Mus musculus: one gene and its partner. The protein of the gene in region 1 purifies or fractionates together with the protein of each later gene. This does not show direct contact. Links are inferred from orthologs where the notes say so. Each region holds a gene or a part of one and is shown on either strand. Other genes may lie near its edges.

Region 1 (12,304 bases):
GGGGCCGGTGATAGGGCACCGGGCTGGAGCGCGGCCCGGCTGGCCGCGGCTCTGGAAGTGGACCCCCGGGTAGGAAGCGGCGCCGGAACCAGCCGGCGGACATTGCGTGGCGGCCGGGGGCTGCCCGCGCACGGCGGGACACCAGGGTCCCGCCCGCCCGCCCGCCACTGGGAGGAAGCGAGCCTGGGGGTGGGGCCTGGGGGTGAAAGAGGCCACGCCCCATCCCGCCCATCGGCCCCTGTGTGTGCGGCCAGTTTCTTTGGCCTTCTGTAAGAAGGAGATGTGGTCACATATCCCACTTTACAGGCAGGATAACCGAGGCCTAGCGAAGTGAAGACGCCTGCTTGCGTCAGAGTACCACTGAAAAGGCACAAAGGCTCACCCGCACCTGTGGGACTCGATCCTCTGAGAGTGGAAGCCCTTCCCCTCTACTCTAGGAACCGTGGAGAGTCATCCAGGATGGGTGCTGGGCAGGCGCTTACAACAGAGCCTTGCCCTGCTAGCGACGGTCTTCCGCAAGGGGAGGACGGGGACAGTATGTCCTTGGAGGTGTAAGAGCGGGCTCAGAGTGCTCCAGAGTTCTATTCACCCTCGACCTCATCTTCAGAAGCCCGCTCCCAAATGTCTGCCCCTACAGTTAAGATGGCTTCTCGCCTGCGCAAGTGCCTCCCTGGAGTGTGAGTGACGGACAAGAGGAACCTATGGGAATTTAAGAGGGAGTGTAGCTCCTTTCTCCTGCTGGTCTAAGGTGCAGCCTTGGACTGAGGGAAGTGGAAATTTTCACCAACCTCTTTTGTTTTGAGAAGGCGCTCACCATGTCATCGCTCTGGCTCAGGATGTCCCTTTACCCCTAGATAGCTATAACTATTGGGGGAGAGCGCCTGTCACTTTCTGTCGCCTAAGTCTAGGTGCCCCTCTGCAAGGCCTCAATTTCCACTTCATAAGGGAGGACTCAGACCCACAGAGGGGAAGTGTTAGACGCCCAGGGTTCCCAGTATGACAGTGTAGTTGAGTCAGACCACCCCTCAAGCCATTTCGCTTCCTCTTTTTTCCTCCAGGAAACCAATTTAAAGTCTCTAAGGCCTAAGGATGGATGGATGAGGGGTTCCCTACCGTTGACTCTGCTCCTAAGCCCAGCCTAGTACTCACTAGGCCTCTCTTCCTTTAGTCAGTTAGCCCTGTTTTGCCAGCAGTTCCTCCTGCCCAAAGAGGAAGGCTCTTGGGAAACAGCTGCACCCCAGTAACTGGGGTAGGGGCTACCCTACTGAGCCCACCCAGTAACAGCCACACACTGGGAGTAGGAGGACAGTGTTAACAGAGGGACTGCTGAGCCCGGATGTAATAGTAGTTCTGATAGTGCCTGGCCCAGCTGTGAATGGGGACAAGGTCTGAGACACTCCCCACTCCCAACCCCTGCTTCCAACTAAGGAGGAGAAGGATACATATGATAAATCTTCCTTAGTTACTTTAGTTCTTGCTATAACAAAGTATCTGCAAAAAGCAACTACAGAAGGAGTAGCTTCCTCCATCACAGCAGCAGCAAGAGAATCGGGGATGCTAGGCAGCTGGTCATGAGAGTCTGCCACCAGGAAGAGGTGTGTTCAGACCCCAGCCCACAGCGGGTGCTGCTCACATTCAGGCCTGGTCTTCCCTCCTTCTTAAACTTTTTGGGGAAATGCCCTCACAGACAAGCTCAAAGGTTCCACACCTGGATAATTAATTTTACAATCAAGACCATCACCACACTGTTTTACATAAGCTTGCATTGCCTATTTACCCAGCCTTGACAATCACAATTCTTGTCAAAGTTTTAAAATGTTTGCCTACAGTAAGTAAGATTCCAGATACAGCTCAGTTTTCATGTATTTAATGAGTACGGACCAGGCAAGCAGCTCCTCATCGACTTGTGGGACAGCATCCATCTTTGTGGGTGGCCTGTTTCCTTTATCCAGTTTTCTACCTCACCACCTTTTTTTTTAAACCTCTTTTTTTTTTAAAAGATTTATTTATTTATTTATTTGTTTATTTATTTATTTATTTATTTATAAATTATATGTATGTACACTGTAGCTGTCTTCAGATATTCCAGAAGAGGGCATCAGATCTCATTACAGATGGTTGTGAGCCACCATGTGGTTGCTGGGATTTGAACTCAGGACCTTCAGAAGAGCAGTCGGTGCTCTTAACCACTGAGCCATCTTGACAGCCCCCTTTTTTTAACCTCTTCATTTGTTGACAAAGTCCCATGTAGTCCAGGCTGGCCAGGAACTCACTATGTAGCCCAGGCTAATCCTGAAACCCCCACCTCCCTCTCTCTCTCTCTCTCTCTCTCTCTCTCTCTCTCTCTCTCTCTCTCTCTCTCTCTCCCTTCCTTCTTTCTTTCTTTCTTCCTTCCTTCCTTAGCCCAGGCTAATCCTGAAACACCCCCCCCTTTCTTTCTTTCTTTCTTCCTTCCTATTTACTTATGAGACAAAAATCTAACCATGTAGACCAGGATGGCCTTGAAGGCCTTTGCTTCCTTAGTTCTGGATTATAGTTATTTGCCAACATACCTGATTTATGTAGTGCTAAGGATCAAACCTAGTACTTCACACATGTCACGCAGGTTAGAATGATCTATCAGCTGAGCCAGCCCAAGGATGCCATTTGAACTTGAGTTCTCTCACAGATTTGGGGTGTGTGTGTGTAGTATATACATACACTGTGTATGTTAGAGTACAATGTGGAAACCAGAGGTGGATGCCAGCCAGTCAGCCTCTATTGCGCTTTCTCTCTCTCTCTCTCTCTCTCTCTCTCTCTCTCTCTCTCTCTCTCTCTCTCTCTCTCTCTCTCTCTCTCTCTCTCCATTTGGCTGGGTTGGCTGACTAATAAGCAAATAAGCCCCAATAGGTATTGGCCTGTCTCCTCAAACTCCCTCTCCCAAGGTCCCCAGCCTCCCTGCACAGTCCAAGGGGAAAGCCAAGTGTCTTCATTCTGTTGCCGGGAATCTGAAATTATATGCTAACTCAGCACTTTACTGACTGAGCCATCTCTCATTAAGTTATCTATTTTTTAAAGTTTTTATTTATTTCAGTAAAAAAAAAATTTTGGTGTGTGTCTGGGTGTTTGGCCCGCATGTATCTATGTGCACAATGTCCGTGTCTAATCCCAGGAGGCCAGAAGAAGGAACAGTTGTGTCATGTGGGTGCTGGGAACCAAACTTGAGTCCTATGCAAAAGCAGCTAATGCTCTTGACCACTGAGCCATCTGTCCAGTCCCGTTTATCTATTTTTTAATAACAAGGTCCAGGGTGGAGAGATGTTTCTGAGGTTAAAGAGTACTAGCTGCTATTCGGCCGTTAGTCTGTAAGAGCAGTAGGAAAGGCTGCTGGGAATAGAGGCAAGGTCATTAGGAATTGGGAAGTTCCTCAGGTTGACTTCCAGTCCTTCCACCACTGGGTCACACTTAGCACATGCACCGTCTTTTTGGAAAACTTTCCTCAGCCTTGTTAGGTCACCTCGGTCTCTCCTACCGTATTCCTTCCAAAATTCATTTCCTCCTATGGCCATTCACTTTCTCAGCGTTGGGCTCCAGACACCGTGCACCTGATGACTGGTAGGAAATCAGTACACACACACACACACACACACACACACACACACACACACACACACACACACACACACACACACACATACACACACACACACTCACACTCACGACCACACACGAGCGCGTGCCCACCTACACTGAGATCACCTCACCATCACAAACGGGTACGCCTGGATCGGCCCTCACTCTCAAACCTCCTCCGCGGCAAGCTCACAGCCCCTCCCACGCCCAAGTGCGGATCCGCCCACAGACCTCCAGGATCCTGGCCTACAAGGGACCACCCACACAATCCCTTGGGGCCCCTTCTTGGCCATGAAGGTGGTAGCGGCCGGGCACTGGGCCATCCGGACCCCGGCGCCCGCTGCGCGCACGCGCGGCACCAATGCCCGCCTCTGCCGGCCTCGCCCTCCGGGGGCGGGGCGCGCTGGGGGCGGGTCCTGCGGCACCGCCCGGGAAGCTGCGCGAGGCTCGGTGCCGTCGCCACATCCTCCGGAGCTCTGGGTCCAGGCGAGCCGAGTCGAGCCGGGCCAGGACCAAGAGGAGAACTCCGACGGCACGGGCGAGCCGAAAGCTGAGCCATGGCGCACCAGACCGGCATCCACGGTGAGGGCGGATGGAGGGCGGACAGGGGCTCCGCCGCGCTGGTTCTCCGCGCTAGGTCCCTTCATCCTTCTCTTCCTTGTACCCTCCTGGGAAGCTTCCTGTTCTCTTTTGCAACCGCGAGTCCCTGGGATGGACACGTCTTGGGGCAGAACAGACTGTTGTACATAGCTGGGAGTGGGTGCACATGGATGCACACAGCGAGGGTGGAAGTATCTTGTGTACCCAACTGGGGGCGGATGTGCCTGTGTATACTGGTCTGGGTATTTTTGTTCTTTTCTGGAGGTGGGGTGTACCCGGATGTGCACATCTGGAAAAGTGTACATGGGTGTACACATGTTCTCTGTATACAGTCCAGTATGTGCACATCTGGATGAGACTTGGTTATGCCTGTCCAGGCTTCTTCGTGTGCATGCACTAGTGGCTGGTTTTGGACACTCTAGGTTCCATCTCAGACATCAGTGTTTCCTGGCTGCACGCACAGAAACTGTGGGTATCTGCATGTGTGCACAGTTCAGGCACATCTCAGTATGTGTGTGTTAGCATGGGTGTTTGCATGGGTGTCTTATGACTGACATGGGCTTATGTGTATGTGTGGAGAGGGTAGCCTGACCTTTTCTCCTTTCAGGACCCCTAGACTCTTGCAGACTAGGTTGGACAGAAGCTGGAATGGAGCCCTCCTTCTTAAGTAGAATGGGGAGAACTGCACATCTGACCTTGGCCTCTGACTTCTTCCCTTTTCCATTGTGATCTCTCTATCGCTGCTCCAGCCAGGCCTGCAAAGTCCCAACTTCAAGCTGGAAGCAGGGGAACGGGTCAGGATTCAGACTTTATAGGGGAGCTCCTGCCTCCACCCTCATCTACAGGAAGCTTCTACAGCCCAGGGCGTGACACCCATAGCCCCCCTCCAGGGCCCCAGTTTCCTCCTTGGAGAGACTTAAGAAAGAAGCAATAGCTGGGAGCCAGGTATTTTGTCCCCATTTGTTATGGGCCTGGAAGGGCTGCTTCCCTGGCCAGTAGGGAAGGCCAGGCTGCTTGCCCAGACAGCTTGTTGGTTTGGCCATCAGCCACTCCTACCACCACATCATGATTCCCTGACCAGGGCTACCACCATCGACCAGCCTGACTGCCGGAATCCCTGCCTGCGGTTGTGGCTGCTTGGTGGATGGACAAGCCAAGAGACTTTCCCTGCCCTAGCCCATCCCCATCCTGTTTGTCCTGAGCATGCAGGGACCTGGATCAAGCCTGGCCACCCACAGGTGGGCCAGCCTCTCCTAGAGATGGAGGAGCAGGTTTCTTGAGTCAGCCCCAAAGAGGGGAACTGTCAGGGTAAACTGCTGCCTGGCCTGCCCCTTCCTTCCTCTTTGTCTGGTCTGAGCTGCTATCTCCAAGAGGGAGGAGGTGCTACGAAGTTTTACACACACACACACACACACACACACACACTGCTTACAGATCCTGTGGCCAAGGCTCTGCCCTATCCCTTCATTCCCTATGAAGTGAGACAGGCCTGCCCAGGGGAGCCTCCCAGTCTCCTGCCTATGAGGATGTGCACCTTCTTTTGTGCCTGCTGGAAGTGGCAAGAAAGACCACCATGGAGGATCAGGTGCCAGCCTTGGCCAGGCCATAGGTGTAGGCCTGCTGACCTCAGAGTGGGGCCCAAGAGGGACAGTAACCTGAGGCTTGCTAGAGTTGGAGGTGGGCAAGGTGGGGGCGGGGAGGCATGAATCTTTGATGAAGGAGGCTCAGATGTCCCAGGCCTGGCCTCTAGATTATTGATGGTGACTGGGGAGACATTGGGGTGGGGTAGGAAGAGATGTCACTTTCCCTGCTGGCTTTTCAGTATGCCCTGGTAACAGTAGAAGGGGCTTGTCTGCCTCTTCCTCTGGGGAGCTTCTTAGCCTCTCTCTCTCTCTCTCTCTCTCTCTCTCTCTCTCTCTCTCTCTCTCTCAAGGTCTAGGCAGGTAGGAGGATCAGTAAAACACAGCTCCCTTAAGATTTTTTTAAAAATGTCAGCAAAGTCCAGTTCCTCAGCTCTTTCTCCCACACACCACAGGCCTCTGAGTTTGAGGGAATTAGCTGTGTTTTATAGATGAGGTTCAGGTTCAGAGAGGTCAGGGGTCACACAGCTAAGGGGAGCTGGGGCCCCAAAGATCAGGCTTAAAGCTTCAGGCTTCTACTCATAGAGTTAATCAGTTGTGCATGCCGAGCAGTGGTGGTGCATGCCTTTGATCCCAGCACTCGGGAGGCAGAGGCAGGCGGATTTCTGAGTTCAAGGCCAGCCTGGACTACAGAGTGTGTTCCAGGACAGCCAGGGCTACACAGAGAAACCCTGTCTCAAAAAAATAAAAAAAAAAACCAAAACAAAACAAAAAAATCATTTGTGCATACCCAGTGGGGCTACGTCCCCTTGTGTACGGTACCAAGCCATGCTTCTGTCCCCAAGGAATTGTTAAGCTGCTAGGCCCCTGGCCACACAGTGACCTTCGTGCCTAAGGTTCAAGCATAAGGTCACTCTGCAGGGAGCGGGGAGCACCTGAGGACAGACTAAGAGTTTGTTTACCTAAAGCCCCTCCACCCCGCCCCTAAGCTGCCCATCAGCTGCCCAATCCAAGCCCTATAAATACCCTGTGATCTCAATTCTCCAACTGTGTTTTTGCCGGGGTTCTTCTGACCCCTGGCAGCCCCAAGGTCACACTCACCCAGAGGCTCCAAGCAGGTCCCTTACACACTTGGACTGTGTCTTCCCTCTCTATCACCATTAGGAGAGCTGAGATGACTCATGGTCCTCGAGCTGTGGCCATGGTCCTCACCTTGGCACCGTGTCCTTGGTCATTAGTCACCTTCCATCTCTGATGCCCAAATTCCAAGATGGAGGCTTCTTCCTCAGCACCACTCCTCCTCCTGGTAGCCTTCCTTACTGCCTGAGGTCTGAGGCGGTCTTGCCTCTTGATAGGGCTGTGTTGGGGCTGGTAGCCCCTGTTTTGGTACAGACTGACTGGGGGCTTGAACTACGAGTACATTCATGTGACGTGCAAATTTATGTCTCTATATTTTGTTTATCTTGCCTGTACACATGGTGTAGTCATACTTTGCAGCTATGTCTGCTGCCTGTATTTGTGTTGGCAATCCAGGATTGTATCTGTGCATGTGTGTGTGTGTGTATACACTTGTGCATGCTTGTATGTGTGGGTGTGTATGTGTGTCTTTGTTTGACTCTCTAGATGAGACTCAGTCCACTTAGATTGACCAGCTGAGTGGGTGTTGAGTCACTGCTAGATCATCCTAGTGTCCAGGGACAAGTGAGTGCCCTTCATTCTGGCAAGCTTGTCTTGTCTTAGAAACTGGTCCATCTTCAAGTGGGCTGTCCTTCCTGTCATCAGAGCTATCCCGGCCAGCAGGCCACCGCCTGCCACTCCTGCTAGCTAAATTTGGGAGCTTATGTTCAGTGGCCATCTCAGGTTCCAGTCACATGGGGAAACCATATTTAACCCACTTCCCAGCCTGGCTACCACCAGACCCCACAGGACACCAGCAGACCCAAACTCTTCCCTGCCCACTCTGCCTGCTTGCTCACCAACAACAACTATGTTTCTTGTGCTTATAGCCACTGAAGAGCTAAAGGAATTCTTTGCCAAGGCCCGGGCTGGCTCCATCCGACTTATCAAAGTCATCATTGAGGACGGTGAGTGTCCCCCACGGGCTGGGGCATGGAATGGAGGCCGAACCCAGTCACTTCTGGGGATAGGAGAGCTGGGTATCAGCTTCCTTTCAGCCCCTCCCAGACCTCAGTCTCTGCATCTGAGAATGTAATGAGGCCTTTCACAGAGAGGTCTCATTGGGGTCCTGCAGTGGGGGTAGAGGGCACCCTGTTGTACAGAGTCCTTCCTGCAGTTCTGTCTAACCTCAGCCTGAGGCTGTGTGGCGTTTGAGATGAGCCTTGTCAGAGTATCGGGCTAGATATGTGGTAAGGGTCCAGTGAGCCCTACTATATGTATGTTTTGTGTCTGGGGGGTGGGTGGTATGTGTATGTGGTGTGTGTGTTCTATGTGTGTGGTGAGTGTGTGTGTATGTGGTGTGGTATGTGTGTCATGTATGTGTGTGGTGTATGGGGAGGTGAGTGTGTGTGGTGAGTATGTGTATATGTGGTGTGTGGTGAGTGTGTTGTATATGTGTGGTATGTGTGTGTATGGTGTGGTATGTGTGTCATGTATGTGTGTGGTGTGTGGGGAGGTATGTGTGTTTGGTATGTGTATATGTGGTGTGTGGTGAGTATGATGTATGTGTGTGGTATGTGTGTGTGGTGTGTATGTGTGTGTGTATGTGGTGTGTGTGTTGTATGTGTGTGGTGTGTGGGGAGGTGAGTATGTGTGTATGGTGAGTGTGTATATGTGGTGTGTAGTGAGTTTTGTATGTGTGTGGTATATGTGGTGAGTGTGTGTATGTGGTATGTGTGTTGTATGTGTGTGGTGTGTGGGGAGGTGAGTATGTGTGTGGTGAGTGTGTATATGTGGTGTGTGGTGAGTTTTGTATGTGTGTGGTATATGTGTGTGTGGTGAGTGTATGTATGTGGTGTGTGTGCGTGGTGGGTATGCATGTGGTATGAGGTGAGTGTGTGTGTGTTGTATGTGTATATGTTGTGTGTGTGTGGTCAGCAGATTGGGCCTGGCTGGACCTGGCTTGGCTGCTGGCTGTAGGAGGACTGAGATACCATGGACCTTCCCATAGTAGATGTCCCCAGAATGGGAAGAAAAAGCTATGTCTTGCTCATTCTCAGAGCAGGCTAGAGTGACACCATGCTTGACAGGGCCTTGAGCTGCCCCTGCGTTCTTACCAGGTAGTCTGAGGGTGTGGGGCTTGAGCCAGGGCTTGAAGTAGAACTATTCAAGGAGGCAGGGGATCCGTCTGAGGCTGAATGATGGGAAGACAAGGGGTCCCTCTCCCCTCTGCCAGTGACGGCCTCAGCAGGGAGTGGTACAGAGTCTGGGAGTAGGTGTGGGCCAGACCCTCCAAGGGTCCTTCAGCCTTCTCAGTAGTCACGCTGTCACGAGCCCTTTGGCACTGGACTCCCTGAATGAGCCTAGTGATATGTTTACTTAGCAGGCCCTGCCAGACTCAGAATCCACCACAGGCTTTCAGGCCACAGCTAAGCTGGGCCTTGTCCAGGCTCCTCAAATCCAGATGTCCTCAGAGGCTGGGTAGGGGTCATTATGGGAGGTGATAAATAGAGGTCTCCTGGGACTCCCCACCCTTAAAGAGACAGTTGAGCTCATTGGCCTCCCATTTCAGCCCTGCCCGTTAACCTCCCAGGAAAGGTACCCCTCGTAGGTGGTTCCCAGAAGCGTAAGGGATCTCTAAGTAGACTCACTCTAGTACTGCATTCCAAGCGTTGGGGAACCCAGGAATGCCTGGGGTAGGGGCCTATGGTCTAGATGAATGTGGGTGGAGCTCCTGATTTTTGTTTTGTTTTGTTTCGTTTTTTGTTTTGTTTTCTTTTGTTTTGTTTTTCAAGACAGGGTTTCTCTGTATAGCCCTGGTTGTCCTGGAACTCACTCTGTAGACCAGGCTGGCCTCGAACTCAGAAATCTACTTGCCTCTGCCTCCCGAGTGCTGGGATTAAAGGTGTGTGCCACCATGCCCGGCACTCCTGATTTTTCTAAAGAAATTAAATTATAAATTTGCTTTTAGACAACCACCACAACAGAAAACTATGTGTGTGTCATCTGTGTCTGTGTGGGGGTACGTGCTTGTGTATGTAGGACTTACGGAGGCCGAGAGAGGACATTATTGGTACTGGAGTCACAGGCAGTTGTGAGCTGCCTGACACAGGTTCTGGGGACCAAACCCAGGTCCTCTGGGAGATCAACAAGTGCTTTCAGTTGAGCCATCTCTCCAGCCCCAAGAAACACTCCTTATGTAAGATTCCTATTATAGCTTGGCATGATGGTATAGGCCTATAATCCCAGCATTGGAGAGGGTTGAGACAGGAGGAAGCCAGCCAAGACTATAGAAACTTGTATCCAAATATAAAAATGAAGCCTTGGGAGGTACAGGTGGAAGAATCAGATGGTTCAAGGTCATTCTTGGCTGTATAGTAAGTCAGGAGCCAGCCTGGGCTACATGATACCAAAAAATAAAATAAAATTCTGGTTTATTTTTAAACTTAGAGAGAGAGAGAGGATCAGAGAACAGCTTTGACCATGTGGCTCTTTGGCATTGAGCTCACATCCTCCAGCTTGCTGATAAGCATCTTTACCCTCTGAGCTATCTCACCTGTCCCAAACATTCTGGCTGTAAAATGTGAACAAAAGGCTGGAGAGATGGCTCAGGGGTTATGAGCATTTGCTGCTCTTGGAGAAGACCCACATTCGGGTTCCAGGATTGACCTGGTGCTTCACAACTGTCTGTAACATCATTTCTAGGGGATCCAATGCCACCTTCTGAGCTCCCTGGGTACCAGACACACACATGATACACATATGTAGCTCTAGGCAAAATACTCATAACATAAGAAAGTAAAAACTTTACAAATATGAACAACATCCCAGCACTCGGGAGGCAGAGGCAGGCGGATTTCTGAGTTTGAGGCCAGCCTGGTCTACAGAGTGAGTTCCAGGACAGCCAGGGCTATACAGAGAAACCCTGTCTCAAAAAAGAAAAAAAGAAAAAAAAAAAAATCTGACAGCATTTGGCCTTCTTCCCCAACTTCCCCAGCCTAAAGCTGCTGGCTTTCAACACTGTTTCCCATCTGGGTTCTGGGCAGGCAGGGAAGGAAGCCAAGGCCTGCAGAGGTGGTGAGGCTGGTAGCTTTGCACGTGGAGGCTTGGGCAGCTAGGTTATTTGCCCTGTCAAAAGGGCCCCGTGAAGTGCTGGCCGGTGAAGTGCTGGCCCCGCAAGGTCCACCTGGGATCACTGTTTTGCCCAGTTCTTCCTCTGGGTTGGTCTGTGTGGCCAAGGACATGTATGGTGTCCAGATGAGGTCTCAGCCTGGAACTGGGGTTGGATGACCTACTTGGCCAGAGACAGGGTAGGCCTCTCAGATCCAGACTGGCCAGCAAGATGACTTAGGTAAAAGTATTTGCTGCCCAAACCTAACAAACAACCTGAGTTTAGTCCCTGGAACTTACAGTGGACTGAGCCCTGAAAGTTATCTATTGACTTATGCATATACACTGTGGTATGCATGTACCCATAGTTATATATGTCATATATATATATAGATGATGATGATGATAATAATAATAATAATGTTGGTTGTTAGCTCAACCGAGTGATATACTCCTATATTTCCAGCACCAGGAAAGCTGAGGCAGGATTGGAAGTCTGAAGATAGGCTGGGCTATATAGCAAAATTGTATCAAAAAATAACCACAAGGGTCTAGGATTGTAACTCAGTTGGTAGAGTGCTTGACTGGTGTGCACAAGGCCCTGGATTTGCTCCTTAGGACTCCATAAAGTGGAATTGGTGGTACATGAATGGAAGGAACGCCAGCATTCAGGAGGTAGAGCTCTGAGGATCAGAAGTTCAAGGTCGTGGTGGCACACGCCTTTAATCCCAGCACTCGGGAGGCAGAGGCAGGCAGATTTCTGAGTTCGAGGCCAGCCTGGTCTACAGAGTGAGTTCCAGGACAGCCAGAGCTACACAGAGAAACCTTGTTTCGAAAAACCAAAAAAAAAAAAAAGTTCAAGGTCTTCCTCCAGCACAGTTCTAGGCCTGTCTGCACAGCATGAGATCCTGTCTCAGACAGCAAGCAAGCAAGCAAAAGAAAAGCAGAGGCTGTTTGTGGTGGTGCACGCAGGCAACCCTCAAGCCCTCAAGAGGCTGCTGCAGGAAGGTTAGGAGTTCAGCATCAACTGAGGCCACATAGTAAAATCCTGGCATTAAAAAAAAAAAAAGAAAAAAGTTGAAAAAAAAAAAGTTGGCTACTATTGCTTTTTTACTTTGGGGTAGAGGGCTGAAGCTGGGGGTGGCAGCCTCTTGCTTAGCACTTTGTCCTCAGAGGGGCTTGGTGGAGCCAGGCGCTGAGTGAGGTGAGAGCAGGAAGTCGTACAGTTAAGATTGTACCTTGCAGCTAGCTGCTCCCTGTGTAGGAGTTCTTTGAGAGGACCGCAT
Region 2 (11,691 bases), on another chromosome or scaffold:
TGTCTGATTTCTCGTTGTGTGCTGTGTTCCAGCGCTGGCATGTGCACCTCTAGGACACTCTTGCTGCTTTCATTGTTTCAGTTCTTAAAAGCATAACTTCAGGGCCTTGGGAGAACAGAAGAATCGGGTTGTAAGCAGAGCCCCCTGCTGGCCATCGAGGTCTCTGGCACCCAACCCTTTCGTCTGGAGTGGGGCAAGCCAGGACGCTCCCCAGCCACGGGCTCCCCATCACTCATGTGCATGTGCACCCGAGTGGACAGGGTCTGCTTTCGATCCTTATCTCTCCGGTGGCGGGCTCCCAGCCAGCAGGCAGATCAAAAGATGGAATGTGTTCATTTGGCCATTTTTTTAAAAAAAATCAAGGTCCAAAGGTTCACTTCTGAAAGGCGAGGGCGCCGGGAATTAGATTATCCGGAGAGCTGAACCACTCCAGCTTTTGTGCCTTTTTTTTTTTTTTAAGGGTTCATCTCAAGTTTCTTTTTCTGGTTGAACAATTTTTTTCAACATTAATAACTAATGGAGAAGAGGAAGAGGCAAAGTGGAACCATATGACAGCGCACACGGCCTTGCCTGTGGCCGGAAGCTTCTGATTTGTGTCCGCTTTCATGCGATCAGCTGTTGGGTTAGATAGTAGGAAAACACGCCATTTGGGCAAGAGCAGTGCTGCAATTTACCTCTCAACCGAGCTGAACTGTGTCCCTGTCCCTTCCTTAGACGCTGGCTTGTGTGACTTGGGTCAGCTTGTTTCTCAGGCCCCGTGTGCCTCTTCTTTAAAGTAGAGGTCTCTGGGCCACCAGGATGGCTCAGTGCATAAAAGCGTTGCCACCGAGACTGAAGACCTGAGTTTGATTCCCAGGTTCCACGTAGTGGAAGGAGAGAACCAACTCCCACAAGTGGTGTCTGACCTCAGTGTCTGCACTATGGCACGGGCACTTTCTTAAAAAATGAATGAGTGAGTGGGTGGGTGGGTGAGTGAGTGCGTGAGTGAATGAATATAGTCTTAAAGAAAAAAATAGTCTCTGTGAAAACCTGTCCTGGGGATAAAGGAGTGATGGCAATAGATTGGAACCCATGGTGACAGAACTCGTCTTTTCTATGGTTTATCGTCACTGTTGTCTGGTTTTTTCCATGTTGTCTCTGTGGGTCTTGAACTCAGTGGAGTCAAATGATCCTTCTGAGTCAGCCTCCTGGGTAGTTTGGACTACAGACATGTGCCTGTCCTGCCTCCCATTAAAGCTGCCTTTGCTGTGCTTGGACTGAACCCAAACCCAGGTGAGAATGCCCAGGGCGGAGGCAGGGCCTGTCCCAACAGACGTATAGCGTTACTATTCCAAGTCACTGGAAATTAAGTTGAACCCTCAGCAGCCCGGTTTGGCCAGCACCATTGCTGTTAGATGGACGTTCCACACAAAAGCTGATGGGGGTAGGTCACGTAGGCAGTGTGGAGCGCAGCCAAACACAGTCTATGCTGGCTCTGCTCCTCACAGTGCTGGAGCACGGAGTAGACTCAGGTGTTTGGACCTGGTCATTCAGCTCATTGATCACTGCAGATTCTGACACCCCGAGAGTGTGGCACAGCCAGGGGCAGGAAGAGCTGAGGCGCAGATTTAGATAACTGACTGGCTCACAGAGCCATTGTTTTCCAGCATGCTCTCAGGCAAAAGACCTCAATGCCTGCTCCCATGGGACCCAAGCATAGATTGAGACCCTCAGCAGCTGATGGGACATGGTGCTTGACTGGGGTCCCCTCATGGCTCCCTGGGCACAGTCTCCCGAGTCTCTGCTGGTATTAGGACAGCCAGTTCAGGAGCAATCAGGGTCCTCTGCTGTCCATTGGTGGAACTCCACGATGCCTGGAGAGAAGTGGGAGTCAGGGACAGGTCTGAAGGAGACTCGGGGAATATGGCAGAGTGTTAGATTGAACAACTAAAAACAGCTATCCTGTGTAACATTAGAGGGGTGGTCAAACTGGAACCGTCTTCCTTGTGACTCAAAATTCAGTTTAACTCAGCAGCCTATAGTTTCTGCACCAACTCTCAATGGGGAGGGTTTTTATACAAACTAGCATGTAGAGGAGATGGCTAGTAGTCCAGTGTTGAGAAGGTGGATAGAGGACAGGATGAGGGGCAGGACTGACACATGGTACACGAATGTACACGCATGTGCATGCGCACACCCCATGTGCCTAGGGCAGCTGCTCCCACACTGTATAGCCACACTGTATAGTCTGTACTTGTTTCCAGTGACAGCACAGTGTCATTCTAGACTAGGTTGTCTTTTATCAGAAGAGGGATTGATGCAAACAGAACTTGAAAATATGGCCCAACTTAAGAACTTGTCTTTTAGGGACCTGAGCAGGCAGAGCCAACTAGCTGTCTGTGACCCATCCTAGGTACTTGTGTGCTCGGGCACATCCTATGTCCTGCACGATCTCCATAGTTTTCCACTGTGTGCTGCCATGGTAAGGGCTCAGTTGAGTGTATGTTCTTCTGTGGTTGTTTGGAGGCGTGGGCTTGCAGAAGTCTGGGATTAGCTCTTTAGGGGTGGCTAGTCTCTGGCATAGTTTGCCTGGTTCTGTCCTTCTGTCATTACTGTGACTCTTCAGGCTGGGCTTGGGGCTTTGGTTTGGTAGTGGTGTTATTTGTTCGTTTTGCTGGTAACTTGAGACACTGAGAATTGAATTGAGGACCTCATGTGCAGTAGGCAAGCACTCTACCACTGAACTATCTTCCCGGATGTCTGTTTTCTCATAACACAAGGTCTTAAGTTACTCAAGTAGGCTTGAAACTCACTGTACAACCCAGCCAGTCTTTGAACTTAGGATCCTCCTGCTTCAGCCTCCCAAATATTTAGGACTGTGCCACCAGGCCTGGTCATACTGATGTGGAATTCATGGTCTTAAATCCTTCTTCTCCCTCAGCCTCCTAAACAGCCAGGATTACAAACGTACATTCCTGTGCCAGCTAGGAATGGAGCCTCTTTCCTTGCAGCTCGCATCGTCTTGCCAGCCTGGCTGCTAAAGGAGATCTGTCTTCCCAAGCATCCTTCAGCATCCGCTGTCTGAAGCAGCAAGGTGTATTGAGATACAGAGAAGGGCAGCGGGGCCAGAGAAATGGCTCAGCGTTAAGAGCACTGACTGCTCTTCTGAAGGTCCTGAGTTCAAATTCCAGCAACCACATGGTGGCTCACAACCATCTGTAATGAGATCTGATGCCCTCTTCTGGGGTCTCTGAAGACAGCGACAGTGTATTTACATATAACAAATAAATAAATCTTTTAAGAAAAAAAAGAAGAAGAAGAGGGCAGCATTGCTACCCAGACAGTGAGGACAGACAAAGAGGACTAGGAGGCTCAAGACAGGACTTGACAATCTGTAAGGAGACCCCAGCAGCAGCCCAGTAGCACAGGTGGGTTCTTAGTGGCAGGCCACAGCACGAAGGGCAGCATGAAGGTGCCAGGGTCATTTCACCGCGCCCATAAAATTCAGCCAGTGCCTCATGCCTGGCTGCCTCATGGAAGCCGTGAAACTTTGCTTCTACAACTAGGGTGTCCCAGGTGGAGGGCTCTAGCTATAACTAAGCTGCAGTGGGGGCTGGGAGGAGCTTTGTACCGTTACTGCTCGCTGTCCTTAGGGACCAGAGTGACAGGGTGAAGGAGTTTGGGAGTCACCTAGCCTAGGGTTGGATTTCTCTATTCACTGCTGGCTGTTGGTGTGACCCTTGGACAGCTTAATGATTCTGGGTCTTAACTCTGTAATCTGTAAATTAAGGTAACAGCTTCCCATTTTGTGCCCTGGTAGGAGCACTTAGGTAAAAAGCATGCTTTGTGATACCTGGTTCAACATCCAAACAGGCACTTAGAGGTGATAGAGAGAGATGTCACCAAAGCTAACTTTGAAAATGACCTTGCCTGTTGGTTGGGTGAATGCACAGGTGCGCGTGAACCATGTTCTGAAAACAAGCATGTCGTGCTTTGGCTGGAGGTATATGCTTCTCCTTGGGGAGCGGTGTATGTATAAGAGTTGGACCATCCAATGGAGCAAGAGGCACTTTGTATGGTAGGCTGTGATGTGCCCTAAGACAGTAGCATGCAGCATCAGAACCTGGTTGTCCTAGTAGTTCTGGCTTTTGGGAGGGACACAGGACCTGCGCTGCATGGCCCCCTCTGTTAGCAGCCCCTTGTCTGGTAAAAGATGAAGCAGGGGTCCCTGTAAACCCAGGCCCTGAGATGAGAAAGTCAGGATGTGGAAACAGTGTAGAAGTGACTCGAACAGAAAGGCATCCACTTATGCAAGGGCTGCCATCCCTTCCTGGAATGTTTTCATGGAGACTGATGTTTGTGTTGGGAGGAGGCAGCCCTGGCCTGCTTCCTCAAAGCCACACCCGGGTTTGGGAATTGTGACTTGTTCTAGCCCACCTGGGCCACAAGCTGTTTTCCCGGCACCTTCTGCTATACAGACCAGGTAAAGCTGCAGGTGAGCTGATTACTCTGCTGTAGAAAGCATATGGACATCTACCTCTGTAGTATATACAGCCGGCTATGGACAGCCTGGATCCACCTCTGTAGTATATACAGCCGGCTATGGACAGCCTGGATCCACCTCTGTAGTATATACATCCGGCTATGGACAGCCTGGATCCACTTCTGTAGTATATATAGCCACCTATGGACAGCCTGGATCCACCTCTGTAGTATATACAACCACCTATGGACAGCCTGGATCCACCTCTATAGTATATACAACCACCTATGGACAGCCTGGATCCACCTCTGTAGTATATACAGCCACCTATGGACAACCTGGTATCGCTTAGCCAGAGGCCTGGAAAGAGCTGGAAACTCCACCCAGCATGGGAGTCTGCGGAGTTCTCCAGAGCCCCGTTCTTCTTTGAGTTCTTCACATTCCTGTATATTTGAAGTGTTTGCCTTCTTCTCAGAGCCTGAGCTGGTATTTTGTCCACCAGAGACCAATACCCAGCACACACCCCCTCATACTCAAAGACCACCCTGGTGGCCAGGTAATTAAAGCCACACCCGGGTTTGGAAAGAAGGCTGCCTCGGAAATCACGTCCCACAACAACGCACGACCAGGTTCCTTTACAGAGAGCCGTGGTTGGGCATATGTGGAGAGGAGCAGACAGATTCCAAATTTTGGCAGAGCACTACAAGCCAGATGTTAACCTGGAGCTGAATTGGAGTTGTTACTTTAATGACATTTCTCCCTGTCCTCTCTTTCTGCCAGGTCCCCAGTCTGTGTGAAGATCTCCTGTCATCTGTTGACCAGCCCCTGAAAATTGCCAGAGACAAGGTGGTGGGCAAGGATTACCTTTTGTGTGACTACAACAGAGACGGGGACTCCTATAGGTGAGCTCTCACACACAGGCTCACCTCATAGCATGGGGCACGTGTAGCCCACCCACACGTCTGTTTGTCCTTCTCTCTCCTCTTCTCAGCTGTCCATCTGATCCACTAACAGGCTGTGTAGGCGCCTCCCTTGAGCTTCGGAGAGAGGGCCTTGGTGCCTTACAGTCCAATGGAAGAGCCGTGTTGTTTCAGGGCCAACTGCCCCGATAGGGTGGCATGTCTGTCCTTCCTTCCTTCCCTTCTCCCTTCCTTTGCTATTACCATGTGGCCAACTTGACATTGGTCCCTGCACGGGAAAACACAGGCAGTAGCTGATGAGCAGCTGTACTGTGATGCACACAGCCAGTTCAGAGCTGGCTGGTGGCCTTAGGGGAGCTGAGAAGAATCTATGCTCCGGGGAGATGGTCCTGGCTTAGATGTTTTTAATGAACTGTTTTGAGATGGTCTCAAAATATATCCCTTGCTGGCCTGGAACTCCCTATGTAGACCAGGCTGACCTCAAACTCACAGAAGTCCTCGTGCCTGTCTCCTGAGTGCTGGGATTAGAGACATGGACCAACATACTTGGGATCATCGCTCTTCAAACTTCCAAGTGTGAGAATCCCAGACCGTTCCAGGCTTTCCCTGGGGATGAGCACACTGGGTCTGGGCTTATTAGAGGCCACACTACCAGTGTTCTTTTTGAGAGGGTTTTGGAGACACAGGGACAGTGACCAGGAAGAGCAGTGTGGGCTGTAAACCAGCCCTGCTCCTCCTAGGGACATGGAGACTTTGACAGTCCCTTGTCATCTCTGGTCTACAAAATAGAAACAGTAGTGATCGTTCAGCCAGCAAAGCCTGCACAAGCATCCTGAGTGCTACCTGTGTGGCAGGCACTGCTCCCAGCTCTGTTCCTGGAGTCTGTTTTGTGAGGAATTCGAACGGCTAGTAACGTTAGGCACGTGCATCAGTGATGGAGATTACAAACATATTGCTAAAGAGAACAGAGCAAGAGGGGAGAGGCAGGGTGGGTAGCCAGTGGGGCCTTCTAGATCACAACTGTGCTCTAGAATGAGTTGTTGAGTCTGCACAGGTTAGGAGCTTCCTGGGTCCCCGGCCCTGGGTGGAGGCAAGCTCGCTCGCAGGTATCCAGGAGGCTGTGAAGGTAAAAGAAAGGTCAGAAGCACAGCGGGGCCAGCACAATGGGAGCCTTGAAGCTCCACCTCAAGTATGGGGTGGCACAGAGCTTGTCCTTGGTTTGAAACGAAGAGAAAGAAAACTAGTGGTGGTGATGGCCCCTCCTACTCCATAGGTTAGTTAGGGAATGACACACCTGAGCATGGGACTGAAATTAGTGGAGAGACTGAGTACTGATGGGTAGAGCTTGGAAGCAGAGTGACAGCTGGGAGGTGTGGGCACTGTCTGTGGAAAGAAGAATCTGGAGTGGGAATGTGAAATGCCTTCTGGGTGGGTGTGGAAGTGCCGTGCAGGTGTGACATGGTAGATCTGAGAGCTGGGCATCTGGGTAGCACTGCAGGGCCCCACTGTGAAGCTGAGGCCCCAGCTCAGGACAGAACTGGTCCCCAGCACATGTACCAGGGCAACCCTTGAGGAGACTTCCTTGAAGGTGATAAGCATGGAGCAGGCCAGGGAGCACATGAGCACAGTGAAAGCCCTCACAGTCGTGCGTGGGCTCGGTTCAGGCTTCCTGGGAAAGATACTGCTGAGACCAGTCTCAGTGGCCGCTGGTTCTGCTTTTTTTATTTTTAAACCTGAAAGCTGAAAGTGAGAAAACTGTGTGCAGGAAGGCAGGGCAGGGCAGGGCAGGGCAGGGCACAGCTTGTGCACTCCTCCCTCAAGGGCTTCAGCCCTTCCAGAGCACCCTGCAGGCCCCACCCCTACTCCCCAGACACCAGAGGGCTCTGGGGATGGGAGCCTCACAGGGGAGCAGCGGCAGTAAGGACAAAGCTTGACTCCCCTCTCCCCTTCTGGATCTGAAACTTCAAGGTCCTCTGATTTTCTCCACACATTTCCATCCTGTGTTTGATCGTTCGCTTAAATAAGATCCTTATGGTGAGGCCGCTGCCAGCAGCGCTGCTTGAACCCTGTTAGCTGAAACAAGAAGCCTTCTGGGGAAATGAAAGGCCTGACTTTTGAAATCCAAGCATTCCTGTCCATCTGTCTTTTCTCAAATGGCCTCCATTTAAGCTTTTAAATGTGTTCTGAGTGCCCCTTCCACTAAGAATATTCTGGGTAATGTTATGATTTTTCCCCTAGCTACAATTACCCTGGCTCCAGGCCTAACGTCTTGAAATGCCGTTGTAGTCTGTGAGGCAAGAGGAATGTGTAACACACTTACAGACTTCTTAGACTTCAGGCCCCGATCTGCATGGTGATGGGTGGTTGCGTCCTAGCACATTGCTTTGTTTTTAAACCGCATTTTGTGTGTGTCTGTCTGTCTATGTGTCTGCCGCTTATAGAGGTTAGGTCCTGAAGGAATCAGTCCTTCCTTCCACCGTGTAGGCCCTGGAGATTGAGCTCAGGTTCTCGGGCCTGGCAGCAGGCACCTTTGCCTGGGTCTCCCATGCCATGTGAAAGAGATGGCGTGGAGAGGGGGCTTGCCCTGCTTACAAGTATGCCAGAAGGTTCTCAGAAGATGCAGGGATGGGGAGGTGGGGTCCAGGTCACAGTTTGGGGTTCTTGCCCACTGTCCCACAGTGAAAGATCCAAACCTCACTGACTTGTGAGTCGTGGTGACCACCTGCACCTGTCAGCTGGCCTGGGCGATCTGAGGCAAGAAGCCTCTGAGTTTCTCTCCTTCCTTCCTGTCCTCAGCCGCCTCCTCCCTTTGTCCATCATTTGTGTTTTGGAGATAGGGTCTAGTTACATAGTTCTGGCTGAACTTGACTCCTGTACCTGCCACACAACGGCAAGGACTACAAGCACACGCTGCCTCCCAAGCTCCACTTTACTCCCTGTCTGCAAGACCCTGCAAAGTCTGTCAGAGTCCCATGAAGGCAGACATCCCACGGGCCCTCTCTGTCAAAGACTCAAGCTAGTGCTGGTCTTGGGGTGTTGTCCCCCCAACTCTGTTGGGGAGTGGTGGGCGGGCTTGAACTTGGAACGGAGGTTTCTTGTTTTGTTTGGGAATTGAGTCTAGGCACCTGAACATGGACAGGTTTCTAAAGGCCCTGCTTAGGCTAGAGAGATGGCTCAGTGGTTAAGAGCACTGACTGCTCTTCCAGAGGTCCTGAGTTCAAATCCCAGCAACCACATAGTGGCTCACAACCATCTCTAATGTGCTCCAATGTCCTCTTCTGGTGTATCTGAAGACAGTGACAGTGTACTCTTATACATAAAATAAATAATTTATTTTTTAAAAGGCCCTGCTCTCTGTGGATAGGTGAATTGCATCCTGGAGCCCTCAAGGGAGTATACACAACAGCTCGGCCCCCCTCTAACACGCCCTGGACCGTCCCTGAGAACACTGTACCTCTAGAGCCACCCCTAAAACACTTCCACCTTTCATGTGACTCACGGCTAGACTGGGTACCAGAAAGATATATCTGTGTGGACAAAGTGGGGGACCAAGGGACAGCAAGCATGTTTTTCCTCTCTTAATGTTAATCCCAGATTGAAAAGGTGTGAGGCTTAATGATTGCTGGGGAAGGCAGTATTCGGCCCTGTGGTAGCAACGCAAGGGTGTAAGTAAGGCTTCTCTTCAGTTGATCACATCTCCCCTCCCGCCTCCGTAGACTCCCTCACTTGTTGGAAATTTCACTTGATGTGTGTGGGTGTGTTGCCTGCATGTGAGTGCCTCTGGAGACCAGAAGAGGATGGTGGGTCCATGGAACTGGAGCTCCAGGTTGGGAGCTGCCAAGTGGGTGCTGGAATCAATCCTGGGTCCTCTGGAAGGACAGCAGTGCTCTCAGCGACTGAGCGAGCTCTCCAGCCTCCCCTAACCTCACTTGTTAGGTCTTTCTGAAGATGCAGCCTGAGACCTCCACCCTTGGGAACAAACAAGGAAACCTTGTAAAAGACCTCTCGTTGCCCTCGGTGACTGAAAGTTCTCCTGGGACGGCGAAAAGCGTTTTTAAAATGCTGCTGGTCTTGGGGTTTGCTTGACTTACCAGGCTTCGTGTGTGCTTAGCCCAGTGTACTGGGAAGCAGCTGTGTTCCCTAAGGAGCTAGGCACTCCATTTCCAGAGTGTCTAGGCTTACTGCCTGCTTCTGTAACTTATAGTCGTCTTCTTAATACTTATTGTTTGAGGGCTGAGGAGCCTCCAGCAAATCAGGGAGGTGAGGGGTACCAGCTGACCACTTTGGTGAGCACAGAGAAATCAGGGAAACGCTGGGACTTGTGGCCAAGGCTCCTGCCCTTCTGTTGGTTCCTGGAAATAGTACATAGTAGCGAATGGTAGCCTTGTTTTCCACCGGAGGAAGTGAGGCTTGGAGCTAAGGTGTTTGCTGTATTAGTCAGTCTGCCGGCTTCTGAACCTTTGCTTTGTAAGACTCTCCAAAAAGCCTCCTGGTGACTTGGCCCCTGAACCTCAGGCAGCTGAGCTGGGGCTAACTGTCTCTGGGATGATTCATAGAACCGTCTCCTCCTTCCTTCTTCCCAGGTCACCGTGGAGTAACAAGTATGACCCTCCTTTGGAAGATGGGGCCATGCCATCTGCTCGGCTCAGAAAGCTGGAGGTAGAGGCCAACAATGCCTTCGACCAATACCGAGACCTGTGAGTGACCCTCTGCACACTAGCTCTAGGGGCTTTGCTGGGGAGAACCTTGTATGAGAGGATGTCTGGGCTGAGCACTCTCCCCTCGCTCTGCTGCCTGGTCACCTAGCTTGCTAAAAGTTGGAGCTCCCTGATGCAGACATGACCATGTTACTCTGTTACCATTGACAGTTGTGGCAGGTAAGTGGGGAGAGTGCCTACTGTGTGTACAACACAGGGCAGGTATTTTGCACTCTACTGTCTCATGTCCTTGCTCTTTGAGTAACAGTAAGGTGCTTTGGATGCCACAGTGACACAGTCAGAATGTAGCCCTCACATACAGAGAGTAAGGAGTTTGTCCAGGGCAGGGGCAGAGCTAAGACTCAAACACAGCTGATGAATCACAAATGCATGGTGAAAGTACAGTCTGTCTGTGAAGCTCAGGCTGACTGAATTTGTGATCGGTGTGAGAACACACCACAGCTCTTAGCTATTACAGCTGTGTTTGGACTGGAGCTCAGGGCCCATGCAGACTGTCCAGTGGCCAGGGCAGAGTGAGCTGAGGTCTCACGCAGTCTTTTTACCCTTCTCTCCTTCAGTTGCATGTGTGTGATGTAGGCATGAGTGTGTGTTCGTGTGTGCATGCACATGTGAATGTGGATGCATGAGCATGTGGAGGAGGTCAGAGGTCAGTGCCAAGCATCCTCTGCTGCTGATCTACACCTTGCTGAAGCAGGCTCCTCTGTTCGGCAGGCCTCACTGGTTAGCAAGCTCCAAGAGTCCTTCTTATCCCATACCCACCCGCCCAATTGCCAGCATGCCCAGCTCTTTACATGTGTATGCAGGGATCGAAACTCCGGTCCCCATGCTTGCATCTCCGTGAACATAATCCAGTGTGCCTGTTTCAGCTCCTTTGTGATCTTAATTTTTGCACACCACCCTGGCCCACCAACGCCAGGCCATTCAGCTGCGCCGCCTTTGAGATCGGGCTCCAGAGAAGGCTGTGCTTAATCAATAGAATCTCATTTTCAATTAAGTTCTGTGCTAGATATATAGTAGTACAAAGTCAGTACAAATCCCCCGTCTGGGATGAGGGTTGGCACACTCCCAAGAGGTGCCAGCTAGTGACCTGATTAGGCTTGCACAGGGCAGAAGGCTGAGCTTGGTTTAGCCTTTTTGTATGTGGCCTTACGAGATGTAAAACTCATCTCTTGAGCCCTGAGATGGGATTTGATCTTGCATCTCTACTTGGTTCAATCCTGGTCTAGAGGCATGAAAATTGAAATGAGAGGAACAGCAAATTTGAACAGTGACCTTAGGGGAGAAGGCTCCCAACTGTGGACTGTGGGCTAGTCTTTCCATTTGCATCAGGTTGCTGTGACACATTTGGGAGGAAGAGGCTCCTCCTCAGTCAGACAGACAGACAGTCACCAAGACGTCATCAGCATGTGGTCCTGAGCATTTCAGTGCCCCCCCACACACACACACACACTTGTCTGCATAGCATCTCTGTCTCAGTGTCCTACGTGGTGAGGTTTTACATCTGGTGCCTTTTAAGGAAACGTTACAAAGGTCCCCTTGCGGGGATGCAGAGATGGAGAGCCGGGATTCAGATCTCCTTTTGCTTGACATT

What was found.
Region 2: the proteins of Twf2 (region 1) and Capzb purify together in Homo sapiens (co-immunoprecipitation; 3 studies listed by BioGRID and IntAct, with this or other methods). This does not show direct contact. The link is inferred for Mus musculus from reciprocal best matches to the Homo sapiens genes TWF2 and CAPZB.

Annotation. Positions count from the first base shown.
Region 1 is NC_000075.6:106,199,091-106,211,394, forward strand, and holds the start of Twf2 (twinfilin-2), read left to right. Parts: upstream 1-4,017; 5' UTR 4,018-4,169; coding exon 4,170-4,194; intron 4,195-7,798; coding exon 7,799-7,876; intron 7,877-12,304. Other genes in the region: Ppm1m (protein phosphatase 1M), read right to left, coding at 1-103. UniProt on the Homo sapiens protein: Actin-binding protein involved in motile and morphological processes. Inhibits actin polymerization, likely by sequestering G-actin. By capping the barbed ends of filaments, it also regulates motility.
Region 2 is NC_000070.6:139,252,019-139,263,709, forward strand, and holds part of Capzb (F-actin-capping protein subunit beta), read left to right. Parts: intron 1-5,242; coding exon 5,243-5,364; intron 5,365-9,965; coding exon 9,966-10,079; intron 10,080-11,691. UniProt on the Homo sapiens protein: F-actin-capping proteins bind in a Ca(2+)-independent manner to the fast growing ends of actin filaments (barbed end) thereby blocking the exchange of subunits at these ends.